Saccharomyces cerevisiae S288C: one gene and its partner. The protein of the gene in region 2 interacts with the protein of the main gene of each other region in a pairwise test. Each region holds a gene or a part of one and is shown on either strand. Other genes may lie near its edges.

Region 1 (6,211 bases), on a different chromosome or scaffold from region 2:
AGTAATACCTGGCAATCTTTTCCTCCGTTGTACGAGAATGATATTTCCCCATTCAGTGGACTCCAACGTACAAAAATTTCACTTAGTAAGTATTTTCTTGTCAACCGTATCGCTTCTTGTGTACTTGCTATTATCTGAGATTTCTGGTCTATGTGTAAGTAAGAGTTTGTTATCTCATAACACATCTCAGCAGCCTTGCTCAACTGCATATTGTGCTCCCCTATTTGTTTATTACTTTTTGCAAATGTTGCCCTCTATACCGAGAAAGTAATATCAGTTTTTTCCACTCTCAGTCAACAAAATCTTTCGAAGATTTTTCGAGGTTCTTTCTATAGACGGATCCTTAGGTTCTTGCTAACCAACGTGTTGTATATGAAACCCATCTCCAAATTTTGAGCTCTTCCCATCCTTTTGTTTCCTCGGACTCAATGAATTTGAAATCTGCCGAACAAGCTAACTAAAAAATAGGAAAATTGGAACAGAAGTTAAATGCGAGCAGGAACGTTTATTAGCGCTTTTAAGTCTAACACATATATATAACACTATTTACAAGGTTTGAATAATTTTCTACCTGTCTCTAGTTAAATTTTTTTTGAGGCTTTTGAGATAATTTTCAACAATTAGTAAGTCATTATTCGTGTCTTTATTCCATAAAACACCTACATTCACTATTTTATTTGCGCTGGACGAAACTTCCTCATCTGCACTGAGCTGTTCTCCTGCTTCAAGAAAGACATCCTCATTTAAACTTCTCATTTCTTTGACAATCTTATCCAATATATCCACGGTTTCAATATTTCCGATGACACCATTAACGCTCATCTCGGTAACCACACGTCTCAAGTAGCGAATCTCCTGGAAGTTTTCCCACAATAGCTGAACCAGCAAATTGTAGAAATCAACATTACAAATTGTTAGGTACAGTGAAGCGTCCATGTTGTTTTTACATTCATTATAAACATAGGAGATCAATGTGTACTTTCTGTCTGCCGGGAAATCAAAGTCACCTAATCTAAGCGATTTGACTATAATATATGGTAAAGTCATTGCAAGCGGTTTCGGTAGTTCTGCCGGTTTATTTATACACGCACTTCTAATGTCTTCGAAAATGTTTGAAGATTCTGCATTCATCTTTAACTCTAGGTCTTTGTTCCTTTTCTTGTAAATGTCTAGTGATTGCTTTAGGTATCTTAAAAGATCGTAATCACTTTTAACAGCTTCCCTCAAGTAGTCAATGTGAGGTTCTAAAACCTGATCCAGTGTGGTTTGGTACCGAATCTTATTACCAATTTCTTGCATCACTTCCTCGCTAAATTTGACGTTGGAATGTGCAACTGGCTGCCTCAAAGCTTCCATTCCCGAGCCCTTGCGCAGATTAAGATTCAGCAATTCTCTGTTGCTTTTATTAATGCTATTATCTTCGTCAAATATCTTTTCCAGCAAAGTTCTTGTCTGCTCACTTATCGTTTTAGTGCTAATAGCAGAAGGTTCTGCCCGTTCGTAGACATAGTCATTGCCTGCTGTTTCCTTCAGGAATTCATGGTCCTTATTTGGAAGCTTCCTTTGAGCTCTTTGACTGTGGTTAAAAACAATTTTTTCTTTTTTTACACTAGTTCCCTCGGAGTTGTCCTGTAGCCCATTGTAATACTTGTCAATTATTTTGCTAGCATTAGTGTGCCTCATGTTTTCAACCCTTGCTCCAGCTTCGAATAGTTCTCCAAATACCTTACGTTCCTCTTCGAGAGCTTGTTCAAATGTCTTTTCATTTGAAACTCTTTCTACGTTGTGAGTTTTTCTATCTTTCAAATTGGCTTCATTCAGCAAGCATCTATGGATGCAATGTATGTATCTATAGTTACAGTTTTTTAATATAGATGATGTTCTGATCATTGTATGGCGTGTTGTACTCTTCCTTAGTTCCCTCTTCTTCCTTTACAATTATCTCTCAAGTATAGCAAGCGTTGTCACATCACAGTTTTCGGCCTTGTTCGCCTAATTACATTTTTCTGAATAAATACGTATGTATGCTGCGAGTACTAGATACTGTTGATAAATGGTAACATAAATACTCTAGATCGCAAAAGCGCATGGAAGTTGAGCAGTAATATAATTTTAGAGGAATATGGTTATTATACTCCCTGAGAATAAGTGCACATTGGATGGGAAAATTTCGTAAAAAAAACTCTTGTAAAGACAATTGTTTCCTTAATAGCTATTATATAATCCAATTTGGTTAGAGTTTTGTATGCCGATTATTAACGTTACCCAAAAATAATACTGTCATACATCGGCTTGTTCTTGTTCGGCTTGTTTAAAGAAAAATTGAACGTAATAAAGTTTTGATATAGCATCCCAAAATGTACACTTTTTATTTAATTCATCTACTCCATCGTTATTATTGTCCATGTCATTGTTTTCGCTGAATAATATTTCGTTTGGAGGTAGCTCAATAGCAATATTTTCAAAGGGTTCATACGCAATAACGAGAAATTTTTTTCCCTTCTGTTTGGTATCTGATAGCTCTAAACCAGATACAATCCTAATGAGAGGAGGGACTTTAGCCTTATCATCGCTATCGACACTATTTTCTTTGACTTCACTGCTATAATTTACCTGGATAGCCAAACCTACTGAACCGTTCTTCGGGTTTTTCACGGTAGCTATTTTACAAACAGGGATCGTACCGTTATTCTTTAAAGATTGCTTAGCTTCAATTATCTTTTGTTGTTGTCGGAAATCATGAGTTGTTTGGCCTTCTCTCCCTAGAGAACTTTTCTCTATACTGATACCACGCCTTAACACATTTAAACCATGTTTTTTACCACCCAAATGCCTTTCAACGCTGGACCACGACATGTGCATTGTATTACATAGTTTACAAACCAGTTTACCGGAATGATTCTTGTAAATGTACGGATTGGACCTTACTTGATCGTCCTTTTCATCTTGGAAAGTGTACGGGACATTTTCGCCTTTACTAAGTAATGATTCGACTTCTTTCCTTCGTTGTAAGTTAAACTGAGATTCTGAGGCTATACCACCACCTCCTTTCTTTGACCCAACGCCTTCTAAATAGTTCATTTTGAATGTATGGATGCGTTAAATGATTTGAATTTGCTGTTCCACCTGCCCTTCTTACATTAAGCTATTTGTGAGAGCCTTGCGTCTTTAGCAGATTTTTTTTTTTCATTTTTTTAGTGAGATGGGCGGTACATGTAATATTTCACCCGGTACAATGAAAATAGCAGAATGTAAATAATATTTGACTACAATAATTGAAAGGAAAACAAAATTGTTTGCCATACTATGTAAATTGATATTAATTTGGCACTTTTAAATTATTAAATTGCCTTCTACTTAGAGGGTTTTGGGATGTTCATCTGATGTAACGACATACACGCCCTTATCCTTCTCTTGGCATTTAAAGTTCTTGTTCTTCAAATCGTTCCATTTCTTATGCGGAATCGTCCAGCCACATTTTTGGGCTACCATAGCTGCAATGTCATCACAGTACCCCAAAAGAGATAAATCAAATTCTGCGTGCTTGACGGGATCACGATTAATCAGGACTTGGGGAACGTGGGAAGGAACCATGTTTACGATTTCAGACACTGGCGCTACTTTTAAACTTGTCCCAATGCAAATCAACAAATCACATTCTAAGATATCTTCGCGAATGCTCTTATGAAATTTATTTGGCAGTGCTTCGCCAAAGAATGTGATATCTGGTTTGAGAACGCCATATGAGTTAAGGATATATGGAGGCCTTTCCGACATTGAACCCTGTGATGCAGCAACACCTACTTTATTATTATATCCCTCTGGGAAATATTCTCTTCTTTTTTTGTAACAGTACGGGCATAGTGGAAGTTCGAGGTTTCTAATTTTATTAAATATCCTCTCACCGGGTAGGTTCCAATGGCAGGTAACGCAGGTGGCAGTAGCAAAAGAGCCATGGCACTGCACCAGTTTATCTGTGCTTATTCCCGCATAAGATTCCAAATTATCAATGTTTTGAGTATAATTTCTCAATAATTTCCCTTTCATTTGTAGCATCTTAATGAAACTATGCAATGGAGAATAAATTTTTTCTGGAGGTAAAACCATATTGGCAATATTATAGAAAACAGAGGGGTCGTGCATAAATATATTGTAATTGAAAACGTCTTGGGGATCATCGAGCCCCAAATGTTTGATCTTTGAATAGAACCCCTCAGAAGATCTGAAGTCCGGGATCCCTAATGAAGTTGAAACACCTGCACCAGTCAGGACCAAAATTTTTCTAGCGGTATGTAATTTTTGAATAAAATGATCAATAGTGAAAAAATTGGATAATCTTAATCTTGTACATAGAACTTTGTTAATTGCTCTTTGCAAATCTTTGATTAGACGAACTGTTTGCTTTTTTGCCAATGGGTCTTCAACATTTGTGACAGATATTGCACTTCCCAAATCTTGAACACGCTCTTGCGAGTTGATATGGACAATACTGTTGATGGTGCCGATAAGCGCTTGATCTTTAACTTCAAAGCCTAGCAACTTGATAAGATAGTAAATGTATAACGAGTTCAAATCCTCGGGGAGGTAAGTGTCTAAAAATTTGTGTGCACCATAGTATTTCAGAAACATTCGAGCATTGAGAGACTCTCGTTTAGTGAAGGAGGGACCATAGAAAATACCATTTGATGGGTTTTTACTGATTATGATTGGCCCCTTGGGCGTCTCTGGTTTCAAAACGTCATTGGACATTGACACTACTGAAGCTGCTGACACTGCCAAGGGATCCATGTCATTAGTTGGTTTGAGCTCCATCGATGCCACTTCTCCGAGCGCAGCTTTAGTGTGCCCAAGTGGATCTGTTGTGTTGGTTTCCCTCAAGGAATCCGGCTGTGCTACTTTTATCTTCTTATGTGAAGGTTCATCATTATTTATAATGTCATCGGGTTGTTTTCTGATCGCGTCTTTATCTTGTGTGGGGCTTACTGTATTTGAAACCTTATTTTCGCTAGTCTTTGATACGGCGTATTTCATATGTGGGATGGTCATCCAGCTTTAATGTGCCGATGAGGGAAAAATGGTTTGAATGTGTCTACCGAAGCGATGCCTAATTTCTTGAAATACGTGAGAATGGGCTTTACATCTCTTCACTAAATATATTTTTCTTGGGTGGTGAAAAAGACAAGTCTTTCAAACTATGCGACCTAGAAAAAAAATATTTTACCGCAACTGGCGGCCAAAGAGGACAAAGAAAAATTCCTCGTTTTTTCTCTGAGATGGGAAAGCAAGAATTTTGGCAAGAAAAGGTCCTGGCTGTCCTGGACCATGGTTGGAAGGAGTGCTAGATGTAGCTTGGAAAAGAAATGACCTATAACAATGTATCTTTTATGAGCATATGCGCATGCATATAAGCATATACATAAAAAATATATACATAAATTAAGTAAGAGTTAATTGACACATTGAGGAGTTGCAGGCTACAAGTAATACTGTAGAATTTCGTTCTGGGAGTGAGGCTCCAAGGGAGAAAGACTGCTAATAATCATTTCTTTCAAATTAGAGCTTCCGATCGGAACATCATCGCGATAGCGATACAGAAATAGCAGGCCATTTATATCATTCTTACCGAATTTTTCTTGGTAGAAATTCAGCCAATCGAAGCTATTGTTAGATATTTCGTTTAATGGGAAATTTTCAGAATACTCTTTTTCAAGGCTCTTCGTGACTACTTTCTTCAAAATTGGATCAAAGGGGGTGTCGTTTCTTGTGGCATGTAACAAAACAATGGCCATACTACCAAATAAACCGCTCGTGGTGCCAAATCTCTTAGCGAATTTGTTTAGAGAAGCAAAGCACAAAGCTAACTTTCCAATTCTGTAGTTAAATTCAAAGTCCAAAATATAATCCCTTTCGTCTTCTCTGACTTGCATGGAGTAGTTATTATAAAATTCGGTAGCGAAGTCCTCCATTGGAGTGGAGGTTTCAATCAACTTTTCGCCGAATACATCGTTATCTTGATCACTCGGATAAGCAGCAACACTCTTGGCTTCAGTTTCTTTCCGTTTGTTCATAGCGGCTGCTTCCTTCTTAGCTTTTTTCTTTTGGCTGCTACTATTTTGGCCATTATTTTGGATTTCATCTGAATTTTCATCTAAAGAATCGGACTTTCTTTTTAAGCGATCATCATGCATTTGAAAGTAAAGCTTTGATGCTT
Region 2 (6,817 bases):
CGCTATACTAGCTCGTGGAGAATTAGAGTCTACCTTTAGTGACGAACCCACTCCTTTAAATGTTGTACCATCAAAAGAGGAAAGTAAACATTGGCAGCTGATAGCCTGTATATGGCCAATAACTTGTTTTTTCATTGTTACTTCTATCATAGTTCATGGTTCTTCAGTTGCAATCATAACTCTAGGTCGTCATTTGAACACGATAACGTTAACCAAAACATTCACTACACACACCACCAATGGTGATAATGGGAAAAGTTCATGGATGCAAAGGTTGCCATCGTTGGATAAAGCTGGACGATCATTTTCATTGCATCGTATGGATACTCAAATGACTTTATCAGGGGATGAAGGTGAAGCAGAAGAAGGAGGAGGTCGTAAGGGACTAGCAGGAGGTGAAGATGAAGAAGGATTAAACAATGATCAAATTGGTAGCGTCGCAACGAGCGGAATTCCTGCAAGACCCGCTGGTGGTATGCCAAGGAGGAGGAAATTGTCAAGAAAAGAGAAAAGATTGAACAGAAGACAGAAACTGAGAAACAAAGGTAGAGAAATATTTTCATCAAGATCTAAAAATGAAATGTATGATGACGATGAGTTGAATGATCTGGGACGAGAAAGGTTGCAAAAAGAAAAGGAAGCACGCGCCGCCACATTTGCATTGAGCACAGCCGTCAATACACAACGTAATGAGGAGATTGGAATGGGTGGAGATGAAGAAGAAGATGAGTACACACCGGAAAAGGAATATAGCGATAATTACAATAACACACCAAGTTTTGAGTCGTCTGAAAGATCTTCATCTCTCCGAGGAAGAACTTACGTACCAAGAAACCGTTACGATGGAGAAGAGACAGAAAGCGAGATTGAAAGCGAAGACGAGATGGAAAATGAAAGTGAAAGATCAATGGCCAGTAGTGAAGAGAGGAGAATTCGAAAAATGAAAGAGGAAGAAATGAAACCTGGTACTGCTTATTTAGATGGTAATAGAATGATTATTGAAAATAAGCAAGGTGAAATCTTGAATCAAGTAGATATCGAGGATCGCAATGAGGCGAGAGATGACGAAGTTAGTGTTGATAGTACAGCCCATTCAAGTTTAACTACCACAATGACCAATCTATCCAGTAGTAGTGGGGGAAGGTTAAAGAGAATTTTAACTCCCACATCTTTAGGAAAGATACATTCATTGGTTGATAAAGGAAAGGATAAAAATAAAAACAGCAAGTATCATGCATTTAAAATAGACAATCTGTTAATCATCGAGAATGAGGACGGTGATGTTATAAAAAGATACAAGATAAATCCTCATAAATCTGATGATGATAAAAGTAAAAACCGCCCAAGAAACGATAGTGTTGTATCAAGAGCTTTAACAGCAGTAGGACTAAAGAGCAAAGCGAACAGCGGCGTACCGCCTCCAGTAGATGAAGAAAAAGCCATCGAAGGACCCTCCAGGAAGGGCCCAGGGATGTTAAAGAAAAGGACATTAACACCTGCGCCACCGAGAGGAGTTCAAGATTCCTTAGATCTGGAAGATGAACCTTCATCTGAGGAGGATTTAGGTGATAGTTATAACATGGACGATAGTGAAGATTACGACGATAATGCATATGAATCAGAAACTGAATTCGAAAGACAAAGAAGGTTAAATGCGTTAGGTGAGATGACGGCACCAGCGGATCAAGATGACGAAGAGTTGCCGCCCTTACCTGTGGAGGCACAAACAGGAAACGATGGTCCAGGTACAGCGGAAGGAAAAAAAAAGCAAAAGAGTGCTGCTGTTAAGTCGGCGCTATCAAAAACGCTTGGTCTCAATAAGTAATTTATTAATACACAAAGATATATTATTTTAGTATATATATAAACGAAATGCCTTTTTTATTTACATGTGTCGGAAATAGAGTAGATGCGGTAAAGAGGGGGAGGGGGGGGGGGTATGCGGTTTTGTCATTACTCTTTTCCGTTAAACTTAAAAGCTTAAAACATCATTGATAAAGGTTTTTAGTGAGGTTTCACTGGGGTTCACATTGATGAAATCTAATTGTCTGTAGGAGCCATTGTTCAAAAATCCGCGGCTGATATCTGAATATTGAATGATGTATTTATCATCTTGGGCAGTGTTCGTAGGAAATCGTAAATTCAAGACACGATGGGTCAAAACATCAGTCAATTGGTATTGCTGTATTAGGTTATCTGGTAAAGAAATGTTGATTTTTTTCATAAGATTCTGATATTTGTTTAACTTCCAGTGTGACTTGAGAAGAAATTCTTGGAGGCCTTTTTGTTCAGATAACCAAGCATCCGGATTGGTCTGGTCGAAATCAGGTAAAAGATCTTGAATGTAATCTGACGTGATCTTATAGTCTGTCTGGCATTGTGGAGTTCTTAAGATAACAGAATTTTCTTGTAATTTCAAAAGAGGCCTCATTGAGGTGGTAACAATGTTATCGAATTCGTCAATCTCGAACCAAATCTGCAAAAAAGGGGACGAGGAGGAGCCAGAGGTGGGCGGCACAGGAGTGAAGTTCAGCTGTATGAAGGATTGATGCGCATTTGTTATTAGATGTTGATCAAGAGGCACAGGCACAGGTACGGCTGATGATGATGATTCTTTGTACATTGGTAGATTCAGTAATTTTGAAATAAAACTCTTATGTATTAGAGGTTGGAAAATACTAGAAAAAGACGCGGACTGTAAGGAGTGACCTAGCGTTATTGATAAAGATTGGGAAATAGAGTCGGAAGGGGAGAGAGATGGTATATTTTTAGACAAGGAAGATTCGAATTGGCTGACCTGCGCATCTGTCAATTCTGGTGTGGCGTTTTCAGTGGGAGTCATCAGATCTGTGCAATTTTTAGGGACAACTGACTGTAATCTTGCCCAATCTTGTGACTTGTTTAGCCAGTCCAAGTTCTCTAGAGTATTGTTGAACGGATAGAGTTCTGTCTTGAGTGCTGGTGAGGCTATTGTGTGGTGGTGTTGAGTTGTGTTAGGATTAGAAGCGACGGCATTTAATAAAAAGACTTTGGCCATGGATATTTTCTTGGTGCTTAGGGCTGAAATCTTGTACATTTGCAAGTCCGGGAGGTATTCAAAAAAAGTGTGAGTTTCCTTCTGAATAAGGTTGATGACGTCTTTTGATGGCATGAGGGAATACATACGCACATTTTCATGAGTGATGTTTGACCATATTTTGTTTAAGGATATTTCTGCGTATTTGAGCAAGCTAGGCGAACCCTTGACGGTCAATTCGTTATCCTGAATGGAGATGATGAATGTCAGCCCGAGCTTATTGAAGTTGGTGAGTATTTTACCATTTTGAGTGATGAGTAAAAGGAAAATTTCTCTAGGAGAATCGAACTGGAAAGTCAATGATGTGGACTTGATGCCTGTGGGAGTGGTGGGTGTTGAAATTGGTTGGCAATTCCAGATTTTTTCAATTATATATTGGGACAGCTTGCTTTTCTTCCAGTGCGTCAGATGTGAAGAGGAGTCTGGCTGATGTGTGGAGATGAACTCGCGCAGTTGGTAGCGATTGTAGCTTGATGTAAGCGATTGGAGAAGGGCATTGTATTCCAGGGAGGGCAGACTGGCGCTTGTCGGTTTCTTCAATCGGATGGAGTTCAATGCGGAATCTAGTGAATTCTGCTTTTCGAAGACAAGGAGTTTCGAGCCGAAATCGAGGTTGTTATCTCCAGTTTCCTTATGGCTACGTTTCTTAGACGGCCTGTGTCTAGGCTGCTTCTGATCATTTTTCACTAGCCCAGATTGGGTAGGGTTCAAGACGACGAATTTCAGATTTTGCGGCAGTTTCTTCTTCCCATGAAGGGGCGAGCTTGGGCCTGAGCTTGAATAAAGACGGTAAGTAAGACGGGCGAGCTTTTTGTTGAATTTCCACATATGCTTACTCTATATTTTCTCCAGTGCCTTCAAGCTCCGTATATATTATGTACTAGTTTTATTACATTAAAGATACATAACTTTTTTTTTTTTTTTCAGTTCACTGAAATAAGAAAAGGCGGGCGAGGTGAAAAACAAAAAAAAAAGTATAGAGAAACAGAAGTGGAAGAAGAGCTAGGAAAGCACAGCGCATACGACGGTCACCTAGGATGGAGCACCAACAATTGCGGAAGTACGTCGAATTGTACAATAAGGAGGTCGAGGAATTCTACAATGGTGCCGCGTCAGGCCGCCCAGCTGAGTTCCATCCTTCCAAAGTACATGTAAAGAGCATCCATGAAAAGGCGGGTACCGCCAATGCTGGTGTAGAAATCTCTAGCGTTGGTGTAGACTGGGACAGCGAGGAGAAGAATACCTTTTTCTGGTGCCTTTCACGCTATAGTATCCACCGTGTAGACGAGTGGCGCTCATTGTTGCCTCGGAAGAGCGCCATGGAGATTCTAGGTTATTACAGGTTGTTAAGGAGAGCGAGTGCGAGCGCGAGATCGCGTAAGGCGGGTGACGACGGAGCGCCCATTGCGTACGAAATGAGCGCTGAGTGGGTTGCCCTGGAGACAAAACTGAGCGAGACAGTGATGGCCATCACGGAAGGCGCAGCCGAGGTTGCCGATGAGGAAGGACACTGCGAGGGCCTTATCGATTATGAAAGCTGGAAACGCAGGTGGGTGGCCATCTACTCGCACAGCCGTATCGCGGAGATAAGACCCTTGCCCCGCCACGCGCTGCCGCTATCGCGCAGCGCGACGCAGACTTTGGAGCGCTGCGTAAGTCGCTACACACGTACATTGCTGTGGTGCACGGCCCTTGCGGGTATGGCTTCCCGCAGCGTCAGCGCCAGGGCGGCCGAATCTCGAGGACACAAGTCGCTACCGACGGTGGTAACTCGCCGGCAAGTTGAGCGTGCACTATGCACAGAAGCCCGATCACGTGACCTACACGTGCTTCCAAGGCGCATTGTTTTGACACTGCGCAAATGGGAACTAGACTATCCGCGAGAGGGCAAACTGTTCCGCACCAAGGAGATGGCACATCTGTTTCTACAAAGCCAGTTGTCCAGACGGGATGCGCCCCCAGTCCATCAAGACGAAAATCAAGAAAATCAAGAAAATCAAGAAAATCAAGAACAAGATAACACTGCAAGTGAAGGTGAAAGCGAGGCAGAAAGGGATGAAATCGACGAAGCGGACTTGTTCCGATCAGCATTACATGAAAATCAGTTGCTAAAATGGTTATCCAAATGAGACACAATGCGAAAAATCGCGCAGGGACATAATTTTTGTTTTCATTATTCTTTCGCTTATTCCCTCCGTTAGCTCCACCGCTTTTTTGATTGGAATTTCCTTTCGGCAATGGCTTTCCGGTTACCACGCCTCGGGTTTCGCATCCCGAAAAGCATATCTACACAAGAAAAATGAATGATAAACAATTGATGAGTGGCGCTATTTCCCTTATCATCTCATTATTGTACTTAGTATCGTCTATTATCAGGAGAAATCGCATGAACTAAGCCCATTTTCTCACCCTTCTGCCTTCTTATATAAAGCTTGCTGGGAACCGAACACAAACTCCACAAGTCCGTAGCAGCTCTTCTCTTTTGTCTTTTATATATCATAAACATCGCTACATAGTAATAACACTAACGCACGCTAGAAATGATAGCTTCCAAAAGCTCCTTATTAGTTACTAAATCGCGCATACCCTCTCTATGCTTTCCTTTGATAAAGAGGTCCTATGTGTCAAAGACTCCGACACACTCTAACACGGCTGCTAATCTGATGGTTGAAACTCCGGCCGCCAATGCCAACGGCAATAGTGTGATGGCACCTCCTAACTCAATCAATTTTCTACAGACACTTCCCAAGAAGGAACTATTCCAACTGGGATTCATCGGTATTGCGACCTTGAACAGCTTCTTCCTGAACACGATCATTAAGTTGTTCCCTTACATCCCCATCCCAGTAATAAAATTCTTCGTCTCTTCTTTATACTGTGGCGGTGAGAACTTTAAAGAGGTCATCGAATGCGGCAAACGTCTGCAGAAGAGAGGTATATCGAACATGATGCTTTCATTAACTATTGAAAATTCCGAAGGTACAAAGAGTTTGTCCAGTACTCCAGTAGACCAAATTGTCAAGGAAACAATCAGCTCTGTCCACAACATCCTACTGCCCAATATTATTGGCCAGCTGGAATCTAAGCCAATCAATGACATTGCTCCAGGTTATATCGCTCTAAAACCCTCTGCTTTGGTCGATAACCCTCACGAGGTTCTGTACAATTTCAGTAATCCCGCCTACAAGGCTCAAAGGGATCAGCTGATCGAGAACTGCTCTAAGATTACAAAAGAGATTTTTGAACTAAATCAATCTTTGTTAAAGAAGTACCCTGAAAGAAAGGCCCCATTTATGGTTTCCACTATTGACGCTGAGAAGTATGATTTGCAGGAGAATGGTGTTTACGAATTACAGAGAATCTTATTTCAAAAATTCAATCCCACTTCATCTAAACTGATATCATGTGTCGGTACTTGGCAGTTGTACCTAAGGGACTCTGGTGACCATATTTTGCACGAATTGAAGCTGGCCCAAGAAAACGGCTATAAGCTTGGGCTGAAACTGGTTCGTGGTGCTTATATTCATTCTGAAAAAAACCGTAACCAAATTATCTTTGGCGATAAAACGGGCACTGACGAAAATTACGATCGTATCATCACTCAAGTTGTCAATGATTTAATCATCAATGGCGAGGATTCTTATTTTGGTCACTTGGTTGTCGCCTCTCATAATTACCAATCCCAAATGCTCGTTACTAATTTGCTAAAATCTACCCAAGACAACTCTTATGCCAAATCGA

The links.
Region 1: the proteins of SLS1 (region 2) and MTF2 interact in binary tests that used the Saccharomyces cerevisiae proteins (3 or more experiments, as listed by UniProt).

The regions. Positions count from the first base shown.
Region 1 is NC_001136.10:373,400-379,610, forward strand, and holds MTF2 (Mtf2p), read right to left. Parts: upstream 1,891-6,211; coding exon 568-1,890; downstream 1-567. Other genes in the region: FAD1 (FMN adenylyltransferase), read right to left, coding at 1-209; spliceosome assembly protein PRP11, read right to left, coding at 2,281-3,081; NAD-dependent histone deacetylase SIR2, read right to left, coding at 3,358-5,046; peptide alpha-N-acetyltransferase complex A subunit NAT1, read right to left, coding at 5,475-6,211. UniProt on the Saccharomyces cerevisiae protein: Required for the processing and/or for the stability of the CYTB and COX1 intron-containing pre-mRNAs and of the ATP6 transcript. Could be a stem-loop RNA-binding protein that plays a role in determining RNA stability.
Region 2 is NC_001144.5:419,570-426,386, forward strand, and holds SLS1 (Sls1p), read right to left. Parts: upstream 3,905-6,817; coding exon 1,973-3,904; downstream 1-1,972. Other genes in the region: NHA1 (Nha1p), read left to right, coding at 1-1,825; RRN5 (Rrn5p), read left to right, coding at 4,114-5,205; PUT1 (proline dehydrogenase), read left to right, coding at 5,617-6,817. UniProt on the Saccharomyces cerevisiae protein: Involved in aerobic respiration where it is required for assembly of respiratory chain enzyme complexes III and IV. Also has a role in mitochondrial gene expression.